Drosophila melanogaster: one gene and its partner. The protein of the gene in region 1 interacts with the protein of each later gene in a pairwise test. Each region holds a gene or a part of one and is shown on either strand. Other genes may lie near its edges.

What was found. The genes of interacting proteins can lie anywhere in the genome.
Region 2: the proteins of Irbp18 (region 1) and crc interact in a two-hybrid assay, tested with the Drosophila melanogaster proteins (2 studies listed by BioGRID, with this or other methods).

What each region holds. Positions count from the first base shown.
Region 1 is NT_037436.4:11,095,891-11,101,097, reverse strand, and holds Irbp18 (inverted repeat binding protein 18 kDa), read left to right. Parts: upstream 1-2,911; 5' UTR 2,912-2,956; coding exon of another isoform or gene 2,957-2,987; coding exon 2,988-3,098; intron 3,099-3,225; coding exon 3,226-3,456; 3' UTR 3,457-3,652; downstream 3,653-5,207. Other genes in the region: Elo68beta (elongase 68beta), read left to right, coding at 1-53, 115-416; APP-BP1 (beta-Amyloid precursor protein binding protein 1), read right to left, coding at 539-651, 711-959, 1,022-1,355, 1,422-2,067, 2,124-2,288, 2,346-2,413; CG33947 (uncharacterized protein), read right to left, coding at 2,957-3,006, 4,037-4,085; CG46439 (uncharacterized protein), read left to right, coding at 5,049-5,207.
Region 2 is NT_033779.5:21,308,218-21,315,271, reverse strand, and holds the start of crc (cryptocephal), read right to left. Parts: upstream 4,407-7,054; 5' UTR 4,240-4,406; intron 4,080-4,239; exon of another isoform or gene 3,741-4,079; intron 3,520-3,740; 5' UTR 3,398-3,519; coding exon 3,229-3,397; intron 3,175-3,228; coding exon 3,064-3,174; intron 913-3,063; exon of another isoform or gene 376-912; coding exon of another isoform or gene 295-375; exon of another isoform or gene 1-294. Other genes in the region: CG46314 (uncharacterized protein), read right to left, coding at 295-375; mondo, read left to right, coding at 6,485-6,984.

The DNA of each region.
Region 1 (5,207 bases):
CACCATGTTCTTGTTTTGCTGGACTTATGTCAAATGGCTGCCGACGGGTTCAAGTGAGTTTATATACCTTAAAAATATTATATTTCTAGTAGTAATATCTCGTATTCCATGCAGCCTTTTTTCCAAGCATGATAAACTCTTTTGTGCACGTGATTATGTACAGCTATTATGCATTGAGTGTGCTGGGTCCTCGAGTCCAGAGGTTCCTCTGGTGGAAGCGCTACTTAACTGGCCTCCAGCTGGTCCAGTTTACCATTATCTTCTTTTGGGCATCACAATTAGTTTTCCGGGGCTGTGAGTACGGAAAATGGTTAACGCCAATCGGAGCTGCCTATATGGTGCCATTTCTCTTTATGTTCGGTAGGTTCTATGCTCAAAAATACTGTGTTTCGGCAGTTGTAAAGAAAGCCAAGTAAATATAGCAATCGAATTTGTTAGTAGTATTATAGAAGGGGTTTCAATTGGTTGACTAATTTAATTAGTTATTTGGGGACACAGAATAAAAAGAACGTACAATTTCTATGAAAATACAATTTGTTTATAGCTTCAATGTGACACTTTCTGTGGTTATAGCATTGTATATAAAAGTATTATCGATTGGCTTGTATTGCTTCGTAATGATCTTGATCACCTCCTGGGCAGCGCAGCCACCTGAAAGGAATTAGCAGAATATAGTATCGGTCAACGCATAAACCAAATGGAATATTTACCAATAAAAGCAGACACTGCATGCAACTCAGCTCCGCCATATCGACAAATCTCGTGCAGAACATCATCGCTGATGGTGGCGTGCATTCCCAAATCGCTAAGCATCTTGGCGGCAATGCTCTTCAGACGTCCAATGTCCTGCTCAACGATGCACTCGCCGGGAATGTTGCCACACTCGCTGAGGAAGCGCTCGTAGGCGCGCAGCGCAAAGTTGTATGCCGTGAGGTTGCCCTGCAGCTCGTTGTCCTCAACTGGAAGGCAAGGAAAGGTAAGTCATTTAAGGTTGTTCCAAAATAGATAGATAGATCTTTACCCAGTGGTAGCAGGCGACTGCTCTTCTCGTACTCCTCTGCAATGCGTGTACCCCTTATGACCGCCAGTCCGGCTGCTTCTTTGCAAATGAGACGCACACTTCTCTCATCAATGCTGTCGGCAGGCAAAGCCAACTGCTTAAGGTACTCCTGGCACTTGTGATACACCTGGTCGGCGTCTTGCAGCGCCTGTTGGCGGTAGATGTGCTGCAGGGCGATATAGGAGTCCGTATTGGCAGTCATGTCCGGCAGAACGCCAGGCAGAGGGAGATGGCCCTCATTCTCATGTATCACAAAGTGCTTTAGGGCCTTGGCCATGATCCAAAAGACGTTGCTCTGTAAAAAAAAAAGAAAAACAAATGAAAGTAAAGTATACGTATAAATTCAGATTATATGGGCAACCTTCTTGTTTAACTGTTCGCAGGCATCATCTTCGAATATGGCTTTCAGGCTTTTGGGAACCTGTCCCGCTCCAAAGGCTGTATTGACCGCCTTGATGGCCTCTTCATAGTTTTCCTCATCCGCCTTCATCTCCTCTCTAATGGTCTCCTTCAACTGATTCTTCTCTTTGTAATTTCGAGGCGTTTGAGTCCCATCCGCTTGTTGTTTTTGCCACACATTAAGGTATTTGTGAAGAACCAGCAACCAGGGCACCTTACTGGTCACCTCGGTGCCGTCGAGATGCTCCCGCAAAGCATCGAATGGATGCTCCAGACGCAGATCAAACTGTCGATTATCCGGATGCGCCTCCACGATGCAGTGTTCCCGTATTTGCAAGCGTATTGTGCCCAGCATGCCAAGCGATCGGCAGTAGATTAATGGAACGTTAAGCTCCCATAACCGTTCGGCCAGGAGAAGCAAAGTCTGCTCATTGAGATTGGAGGCAATCACTAAATCGAAGCTGTCGAAGAAGTTCGGTCTGTTGGCTAATAAAAAGTCGGCACTCTCGTCGACATAATCGCCATTTACGTCGGGATTGAGTTCCTGGAGAAGTTGCATGCAAGCCAATGCTTTAGATTTGCCCAGATAGCTGGAATCGAGGAAGAAACTACGGAAAAAGTGACTTTATAATGGTGGTCAGGGAATGTGTGATGGTCTACCGACTTGTTGCCCAGATCCTCCTCCTTGACGGTGCTGCCATCGGCCACAGTGAAGCCTCCGATACCGGGTAGCACCAGTCCCTTGGCAGTTTCACAGCCGACGGCCGTAACATTCACCAAACATACTGTGGCTGCCTCCAATAGCGTCTGTCCATGCTCTCCCCACAGCCTAAATAGGTGTCATCAGTGCTATGCTTCCGAATTTATCAATTAAAACGCTCCTCACCTGATTTGTCTGTCGTATTTCTTGCTTTTATCCGAAAGCTCTGGCGATTTGGGGGCTGGCGAGGACATTTCACTAGATTTTTGTGCAATAATAAGCCGGTTGCAAATAATCCAGTACTGTAAAGCGCCGGCAGCCAATACTTCTGACACAATTTGTTTATTGGGTGGAGTGTTGGAAAAAACACGTTGGTAATTTTAACTGTTGCTTATTTAAAACATTTATTGACTATTACGTATTACATTTCATTTAATTTTATTGCATTAAACTACATCTACGTACAAGCAATCAGTCTTTACAAATAAAATGTATAAACAGTTGAGAAATTAAAAAGTGAAAGTCTGAGCAAACCAAATAAAGTGTCTGGTTGACAGTTTTTGAATAGCATTCCATGGCTATGGTTTTGGGTGAGTTTTAATATTGATTTTCAACATGCAATTAATTTAATTAAATAATACCGCTAACTGTTTGTTGGCTGGGCAGTGTAGGCAGCGCATTTTGCAACACTGGGAGGGCTAATGAACAGCTGTTTTATCGTGTAATTTCACAACAAAACAACGCATACATCGCTGTGTTTTCTTCTGCATTTCCGTCCGATTGCGATCCAATTTGAACTAAATAAATATCAGTATTATCACGGAGATAATGCCGGCCAAAAAGAGAACTGCCGCGTCGACCAGCAAAAATAGCGATTCGCCATTAAGTCCGCACACAGACGATCCAGCGTACAAAGAAAAAAGAAAGAAAAACAATGAGGTAAGTTTAAGAGTTTTGGATGTAAACAGAGAGCAAAGATTGGGAAACATGTTGCTGTGGCGCCGTGGCCCCCAGAAGTCCCCAAAAATAGATGCCCACTATTGATTTATTACTATTCTCGGAACAGGCTGTTCAGCGCACACGCGAAAAGACCAAGAAATCGGCCGAGGAACGTAAGAAACGCATCGATGATTTGAGGAAGCAAAACGATGCTCTTAAGGTTCAGATCGAGACGAGTGAAAAACATATATCTACGCTTAGAGATCTGATCATTCAGGGTGAGAAAACGGAGGACGGCCATCGAATCATCCAGGAGATTCTCGCTGAACCAGATCCCGATCCCAAGGACAATGACTAACGAGGAGCTTCTCCTGATTTACCTTCTTATATTTTCATACTTTTAAGCCATTTCCCATGGTTGTTAACCATGTGTATCATCTTAGTTTTTCGATTAAAATGGTGCAATTGCTCGAATTCTATTACAAAGACAAGCACTCATGCAGACGAGAACAGTGTTTGTTAAAATCCTACATAAATGGTTTTCATTATTGGTGAGTTTTTATCATTTCTCACCAAATACTTGTTTTTGTTGTACTTTTCTTTTACTTTTGTTTATATTGTAACACTTAATCACTGTATCCATGTTGCACTGAATCTAAATTTTAAAATTATCTATATTTAGTAATAGTGATTTCTATTATTTTCGACATGATTCATACAGCTAAAATCATGCGAGTCTTGAATCAAATAAAGTGTCTATTATGATTTTACCCATATCAGTGTTATTTTATACCCAATACTTCAGCTGTTTACAACTACTACTACTATTATTATTTCCTTGAAAGTTGATGAACTCATTAATCAGAAATACAACCCAGATTCCATCATATACATATGTTCTACGTTTAAGTAGAACTTCCGGCAAATTAGATACTAACCGTCGTAAACGTCCAATTTCTCCATGTGTAGGCTAAAGACCTCGTCCATTTTCCGAGATATGAACATATGAACTAAAACTATAGCTATTGAGAAAGTGTCGTTGTGCCGATAGGTTTTTGGTTTCGGGTGTCCCGTTAGGTCTTGCTCTCTTTGCTTTTGTTGTGGGCGCTCCTTCCGTCTTCTTCTTTCAAACACTCACAAAAACATTGATTTACTGCACTTTTCGCACATTCATTTGATGCACAACTCGACGGCGATTTGATTTGGCGGGTGGTTGGTTTCGTGTCGAAATGGAAGTTGGATTGTGGGGCTTTTTTCGCGTTCAATAAATTGCCGTCTTCCGCTAATTAGCACCACCCGCACACTGATTCCGATTCAATATCAATTTGAAGTTGCTCACATGGCACGAGGCGAAATAAACTGAAATGTGTTTTCAGTTTTTACAGCGTTGCTTTGTTGTATTTGGCTGGTCGGCAGCTGAACGTGTATTTCCTTATTTTTTATTTATAATTTCACGTAACTTTATTTTGGTTGTTTTGGCCGCTCTCGCTCGCTCTTTTACTGCACGGCCTTGCTCTCGCTTTTTTCTCTCGCGCAGTGTTGCAAAGTTTTCAGCGAGGAACAGCTGATTCAGTATTTCGTTAAAAACCGTTAAAAAGCGTGGTTGTTTTGAAATTGTTGAAATTCTTGAAAATTTTTTTTTATCTTGTTTATGTTCTTATATTAAAATCCTGGTCAGACTTATATTTTAAATATTAAGTTAATCATATTGTCTATGAAATTTGCAAAAATTGGTATATAATTCCAAGCATTTGAAAAAACTTCACAGTGACACTTACATTCACCCCAAAAAAAGTAAAAAAAAAATAGTCAGGATTACAAAAGTTATATTTCCAGATAATGGTACAAAATTTTTTCGATTTATAATGCTGTTGCCATTAAAGAACCCAAAGACCGTTGAAAGCGAGGTGAACCCGAATGTGACGCTACTGAAGCGCCAGATCGCCGAGGATGGAACCAAAACACAGGCACTGTTACTTCAAGCGTTCCGCTTCGAGTTGCCTAGTGACGCCAATGCATCTCCACTCCTCCAGGATCAGTTCCAGCCACAGTCAGTCAGCAGGAGGCATTAAGCCCGCTTTGGCATCACTAGATCCACCTAAAACACCC
Region 2 (7,054 bases), on another chromosome or scaffold:
GAAATCACAGAATCAAATTAGAAAGTACAAATAAAAAGCTGGAAAATGGGTAGGTTAGGCTGGTATAAGTTCACCACATTTTCTTATTAAATAAAAAACAAAAACGGTACGTGGTAAAAACGGTAAAAACGTGGTAAAACGTATATGAAAAGTATTAAAAGTTTTAAATTGCATGAAGGGATTTGAGTGATTGGTTTTTATTGTGCGTCTGTCCTTCGGTTGCTGGATTTCTGTCCGTAGGATTCAACTGCTGCCGCAAAGTGGTCGGCGTGGTTGAAAATCTGAAGTTCCTGCTTAGCGTCGTTTAACCAACTTTTGCGAGTTTATCACAATTTCACGGTTCCACATGTAACGGTATCCACAGTGTGGTATCATGCTAACAAAGTCCTTGGAGCCCGCACTCGAACTTTCAGGTGGTCGCGATTGTCCCGTGAATCTGCAGATTTTCCGAGGTTCGGCTACATATAGTTTCCAATCGATGATCACCTCAAGTGGAATCTAGCCGTTTTGTTTTCCCCTGTGGCTTAAGTTAGAGGTGCGAATGGCCTTCGCTGCCAGCCAACTTCACAAAGTGGGAAAGCGGTATCCGCTTTAATGCTCAATGCAAAGATTCTGCACTTTATTTTAAATGATACACCAGATTTCCTTCATATAAATTATTTAACACATTTTTAATAATATTTTTATTTTCGATTGGCTTTTTAGCGTTTATAAAACGCGAAGACCTGTGCTTGTGTGGTTACTGCCTCTCTTCTTATTTGTTATTGTATTGTTTTATTTTAAGCCGTTTTCTTTGTGTTGGTGAGTAAAGACGTATATGTTCAAGACGTGTGAAATGCGGGGCGGCAATCAAAGTTAAAGCCGAGATTCAATTCGAGCGCTCGCGTCTGAGTAGCGAATTGTACTGAGTACCGACTGGAAACCGCGCATGGTTTTTGCTCGGCTAACTAGCGGGCAAGAGCGAGCGAGCACCACTGGGGAAGGCAGCGAAGCTCAGAGAGCGCCCTGCATTAAGATCAATCTGTTGGTTTATTTCGAGCCCGAGATGCTATCAGCTGAGACAAGCGGACAGTCACAATCTGCGCCAACGGACTCTGCACAGTGGTGCAAATTTAGGTGTTTTGTTTTATTGATCTGTAGCTGAACAAAAATGAAAATAGCTGGGAATTTGGAATCTGGTTTCTGAATATTTTTCCGTTTAACTTTCGTTTACTTTATGTCAAAATCAATATTTTACCACAGCATTGCTCAGCCCTTTTAGTTCTTCAAAAATTGCATTTCTAAATTACACAGGTTTTCTATACAGTATTATCAACAGCTTGCAGTGTGCACCTGACCAGTCAGTAACTTTCCACCCTTGACAACAATCAAGTCTCTGTGCAGGTTGCTCTCAATTTTAGTTGGAATAAAGATTATATTACTGAGAAAAATTCAGTAAAATTGAAACTCCACTTTCCATATGCATTACACAAACTATGTACAATGATATACTAAAATTATTAAAGTATTAGCAGAATCGTTCGTATATGCATATATGTACAATATACATGCTTGAGATGTTAATAGTAGTAATCTCCCAGCATCTTGAAATAACCAATATAACTTCATCTCCTTTTATTTAAAAGGTATTTATAAAAATCTACCTGAATGAGCCTTAGTGACAGTCTCAAAACAGGGGGCACGTCATCCGTAAAAATTTACATTTCAAACAAAGAAGCTTCCTGATCGACCGAAAAATACATACCAAAATTATGATGGTCATAATGTCAAATGGTTCATTGATCGCAGATACTTAATATATTTCACTAACAAAACATACACTATAAGATTAAGCTTTCAAAAGGGGCAGAGTCATAACCACCAGAGAATGGATCGAGTTCCTACCTTTAAAATCATACAACCCAGCTGTTATCTATTGAATTCTTAATGTATTACCCGAACGTCAGCAATGAGTCGAGAGAGATTGCTACAGAGAGAAGAGAGAGTCCAGCCGATCACTCGCTTAACGCGTGATCAAGTACGCAAAAAACCGATCAAAAACTGATTTCATTGCTCTCGCTTGATCTGAGTCTTTGTTGTGGCCTGGAAATTGGCCATTACAGCGCTTGCTTGGCGCTCCGTTGATAAACAATAATAAAATGCACGGTGAAAACCATAATACAAAAACACGCTCATGCTCAAGCTAAAGAGGGCCAAAATACCAGAAACATACGCTAACGAAAACAAAGCAAACTTGAAACCGGTTCCTCAACTTTACCTGTCGGAATTTTAGGTTCAAATGCGATGTGCGAGACCCTAATGACTCAGACAATGAAATCCACTTGATCTACACTAATTATTAAGAAAGAGCTCTATACAACAAAAGTTGAGTTTTAATATTTATATAAAGATCTTTTTTGCGGGAATTTTGCAGACGTTCAAAGCTCCTGCAAATATCTAAATATTTCATTTTTACTGATTTGCCATAGGTGTATTTATTTAAGATATTTGTATCTAATTGAAAACTCAATTTATTAAAAACTTCTAATATAAAGATCCGGACAATTTAAGGTTCTCAAATATTTTTGGAATATCAATAGAAATGTAATCCCTTTTTCAAATAATTGGTCGTGAGTATGCTTGCTTAATATCAACTTTCTAGCTCTTGTTGTTCCTGAGATTTTGATTATCACTCGGACATGGCCAAATCGACTCGGCTAGTAATTGAATAGAGTCGGAAAAGCTTACTTTTATTTATTAGATTTCAATGAGCCTAGTTTCCCATTGATCTACGAGTATCAGGCATAACTACCAATTATCTTATCATAGTAATCATAGTAACGGTCTTTGCTTTAATATTATGAGCTTCAAGTTATAAATAAAGTTATTTTGGACTTTGAAAAATGTAAGACTAGCAAACATTTGGGTGCTTTAATAAGAACTCTAAGAGGTCGTTCTTATGGGTTTAAGACCTCCTCGCAAATGGGTTTATCTACATTTTGCGCTCAGCTACAGTTACAAGAACATTTATTATTTTACATTATTATTATGTACAAAAAAGTAAGCACACTAAAATATACCTACCTTCATCTTTCAGGTCAAAGATCTCCACAACCATCTCCTCATCACTAAGCAACTGGAGAGAAGCTACCTCTTCCAGGGTCAAGGCTTCATCATCGCCAATAAGAGTAATGCCTTAAATTAAAATCCTTAAAAATCCTTTCAAAAAAACTTTTAGGCACCACAAACCATTTGCAAAGTTATCGTCATACAGCCACTCCGTATCGTTTGAGTCAGTGAGCGGAAACAGATCGGAGCCCAAAACCGATGTTGGGGATTGTGGCTCCATCTTGAGGTCCCAGTACAGCTCCTTGGGCAACTGCAAGCTCTCCATGGTTTGGTGAAATGTCGCGTCCATATCCAGAGTTCAAATCAGGGGTCAAAGATATGTTTTGTTTTGAGAGTATGAAATCCGGTCCGAAGAATGAGAATGGTTGTTTTCGCGGTGTGTTTTGTTGTTGTGAAAATGCCATGATGGCGCTGAGAATTAAAGAAACGAATTAATTATGATTAATTGGTTCGCTGTTCAGCCCACAGCTGTTTAATGACTTATCACGAGTCATAGTGATAATGAATAGTCGCTACCCTTTTAAAAACACTTTTAATCATTTTACTGTACCTCTTATATTCAAATTAATCTAAGGGTAGACTACATTCATTGAAAACTATGAAAGATAAATGTATTTTTAACATTTTATTACCAAGAGTCAATATTGCCGTGTCCACCACCAAAAAAGTTGAGATTAAGCACGCAAATTTTGATTTTAATTTTCTTTTTGAAAACTTCTTTCTCCCCTCTAGCTTAGTAATATAGTAATTATGTTTTAACATTTTAGGTAAATATAGAATGCAAGGGTAGAGCTGCAATCGCGCAGCCGGTTTAAACAGCTCTGTCCTGGGCTGTGTCCGCTTGGGGTAGTCCTTACTGTGGTGAGTCATCTCATTTTCGCACGTGCAGGCGACTTGCAACGCACATTACTCAACTCCAGTCGGCGATTGCGTCAGCCAATTTCTTTACCTTTACCAGGTGGCATGCCCCACTGAGTTTTGATTTGCCACGTTCGCCCGGTCAATTGAAAATCCATACAAGGCAATGCCACCAACACACGTGCAGCAACAATGAATGAGTAGAACGCCAAGTGCGGCAGTGTGCGTGATAAATTGCGAAATTAGCGAGAATTTAGCTTGGTGTATACTCACTTTTGATTTTTATACGTTTCCATTTTGTTGTGTTTGGGCACCTAGGTGCTGCTTGTTTTTGCTTGCGCGCAAACTATAGAGCCATCTTTAGGTTAATATAAATGCCGAAATCGTGAGAGAAAATAACAATTGAACCTTTTTGCGTTTCATTTGGAACGGTAATGAGTGTTGGAATCAGTGTTACCAGATCGGGAAATGCCTTGCTACTTTCTACTAAATAATCCCACCCCTTTTTCTCACAAATCTAAAGCGCACAAAATCATTCGTAAAGTATTATTAAATGACTATATAAAAATTTTGAACTGAACAGCAATTTCATTAAGAACCTTCTAACAGTACAAATGAAAAAATTCTCTGAAAGTATAATGTCTAATATAAGCCCGAGAAAGGTATTTAAGCAAAAGAACATGGGAGTGCGAAATCCTCTAGTCTGCTGATAAAGAATTAGGCAGTTACACTACTTTGTAACAAGGTGTGCAGTTTGAATACTTATTATTAAATTTTAACCGGAACTAATTCAATGTTTATCGATAGTTTTTTGATGTGTGATCACTAATTTTATTCTGGGTATTCTATTCTCTAACTTAAACAATATAGTGAACATAAAGGGAAAATATCCATTTTACATAATTTTTCCTAATTACTTAAGCACAACAATGTTTAAAAAACACATTACATTTGAGTATAATATATGTATATATTCTAGTTTTTCCTATTAGTCTCAACGCATTAACTTTTTATTGATGCGGTTTCAAGGTGCTGTCGGAAAAAGATATAATAGCAATTCCATAAAACTGGAAACTAATTACGGGAAATAGCCGTCCTAAATTCATTGTATTGCAATTTCGGAGCAGGAAACATATGACCTCGTATGCTGCCCTTCCCAATCTTTACGTTTGGGGTGATTATGCTCATTCTTGCGTTTTTCGGCTCGCAGCTTTCAGCCATTTTTAGGAAGAGGGTGCTGTTTATCAGAGCCACCAAATGCTTGACAACCCTGATGGGATGGTGAGGGCTCGCTACCCGCAATAGGTTAATGTGTGCTATATTGTGATTAAACTACGTAGAAGCTTTGTGTTGCGCGTGTGTGCGTGGTATTGGTAGTCCGTCGTGCCTGCTAACTGCCCGTGTTTCTGCTATAGGGGGCAGTTGCAGTTGTACCGAAATTGTGGTGCGCGTGCATGCGCGTGTATATGAGTGGGAACGGAAAAAGGCAAAATGCAAAGGCAGCGCTGAGCCAGAGGTCAAAAGTGCAAACACAGAACTGCTTGTGGAGTGCATACTCTGGATGGCAAGGCCGAATGCCAGGAGTCAAATCGACTGAGCTCCATATAGTAATAGTGGAGAGGGGGACAACATTGCTGCCTGACATCTGCGCATATAGAAGAACACGTACATACATACATATACATATGTATGTACGTTTTCCTAGCTGATAAGCAACGCTAGCGAGGTAGGGAGAGAGAGAGATTTCGCGTCAGCTGTTCATTGTTGTGTTGTGTGCGGCGCACAGGTTATGTGCGTTTCGCAGCTTCGTTCTCCGATCAGTTCTGTTTGTGGAATGAAACCGATCGTTCTGCGCTGGTTCTGCCCGCCTTGTTGGCCTTCCATCAGATCCGCGTGTGTTTACGAGTAGTTGGGGCTTCACTATCTGTTCAAGGAGCTACAAGCGGCCACTGACGTCTCGTTCTGACGTCCGTATCCCCAGCCAACCCCGCCGCGATTGTGTGTGTGTGTGTGTGTGCGAAAATTGTTGTTATTGTGCTGTGTGACGCATATAACGGCAAAAGCGGGGCGTGTTTGCCATTAGAGAAGCTTCGCTCCGGAAAAAGCAACAATTGGACAGGTGTCGATGACGAAAAGCTGAAGGTGTCGGGCATTGTAAACAAATCAAAATCTTAAAACCGTGCTATGTCTCTATCAAATAATCGCTTATTTTAGTAATTTAGTTAATAGAATGACAAGGACAAACACTAGATGAGAGAATTAATAAATGTGTTAACCACGAGGCAAGACAAAACATATTTTTTTTTATAGTCTGCGAACGTTTACATATTTTGAAATGATGGAAAAACCCCATCCAAATTAAAAAAGGGTCAGCACCAGCTTTTAAAAGCCTTTACTACGCGAGAGACATTAAAAAACCATTAAATGTGCCCTCGCCATATCGACATAATCTGCAACCGCCAAAATTTTGGCTCAACAGTAAACTATTTGCATAGGCATCCCCTGGCACCTGTTGAAAATGATGCTGAATAAACACGAGGGATACCAACGCACAAGCCAAATGTTTCCCCACCAGCAGCACCAGCTGCCTCAGCTGCACCAGCAGCCTTATCTGCAACAGTCTCTGTGCCAAAACTTCCAGCAATTGCAGTACGAAACGGGAGTAGGTGCTTCGGCGTCAGGGTCCGCCGAGGCTACGGCAGACCTGCTCAAGGCGGAGCGGGAGTCTATCCACTCCGGCCAGTTTATGGTCTCGCACTTCGAGGCAGAGGAGGCGCAGGACGACCTAGAGGATGACGGCGAGGTGAAGATGCTAGACCCTGAGGACCCCGGTCTGGGCAAGCCGGGCGAGCCAACCAACACATGTCGTGACGTGCAGCTTTACGTACCCCAAACAGTGGCCCACTTCAGCGCCATGGACCAGGAGGGCGACGAGAGCAGCATGAGCATGGTGACCTCCCACCTGGAGATAGAGACCTCGCTCACCAAACTCTTCAAGTGCATGAATCTGGCCTACAGGTGAGTTGAAGACTCGTACTCGAGACCACAACCGAACACCGGGGCCCTGAAGATTTATGAAATGTTGTTT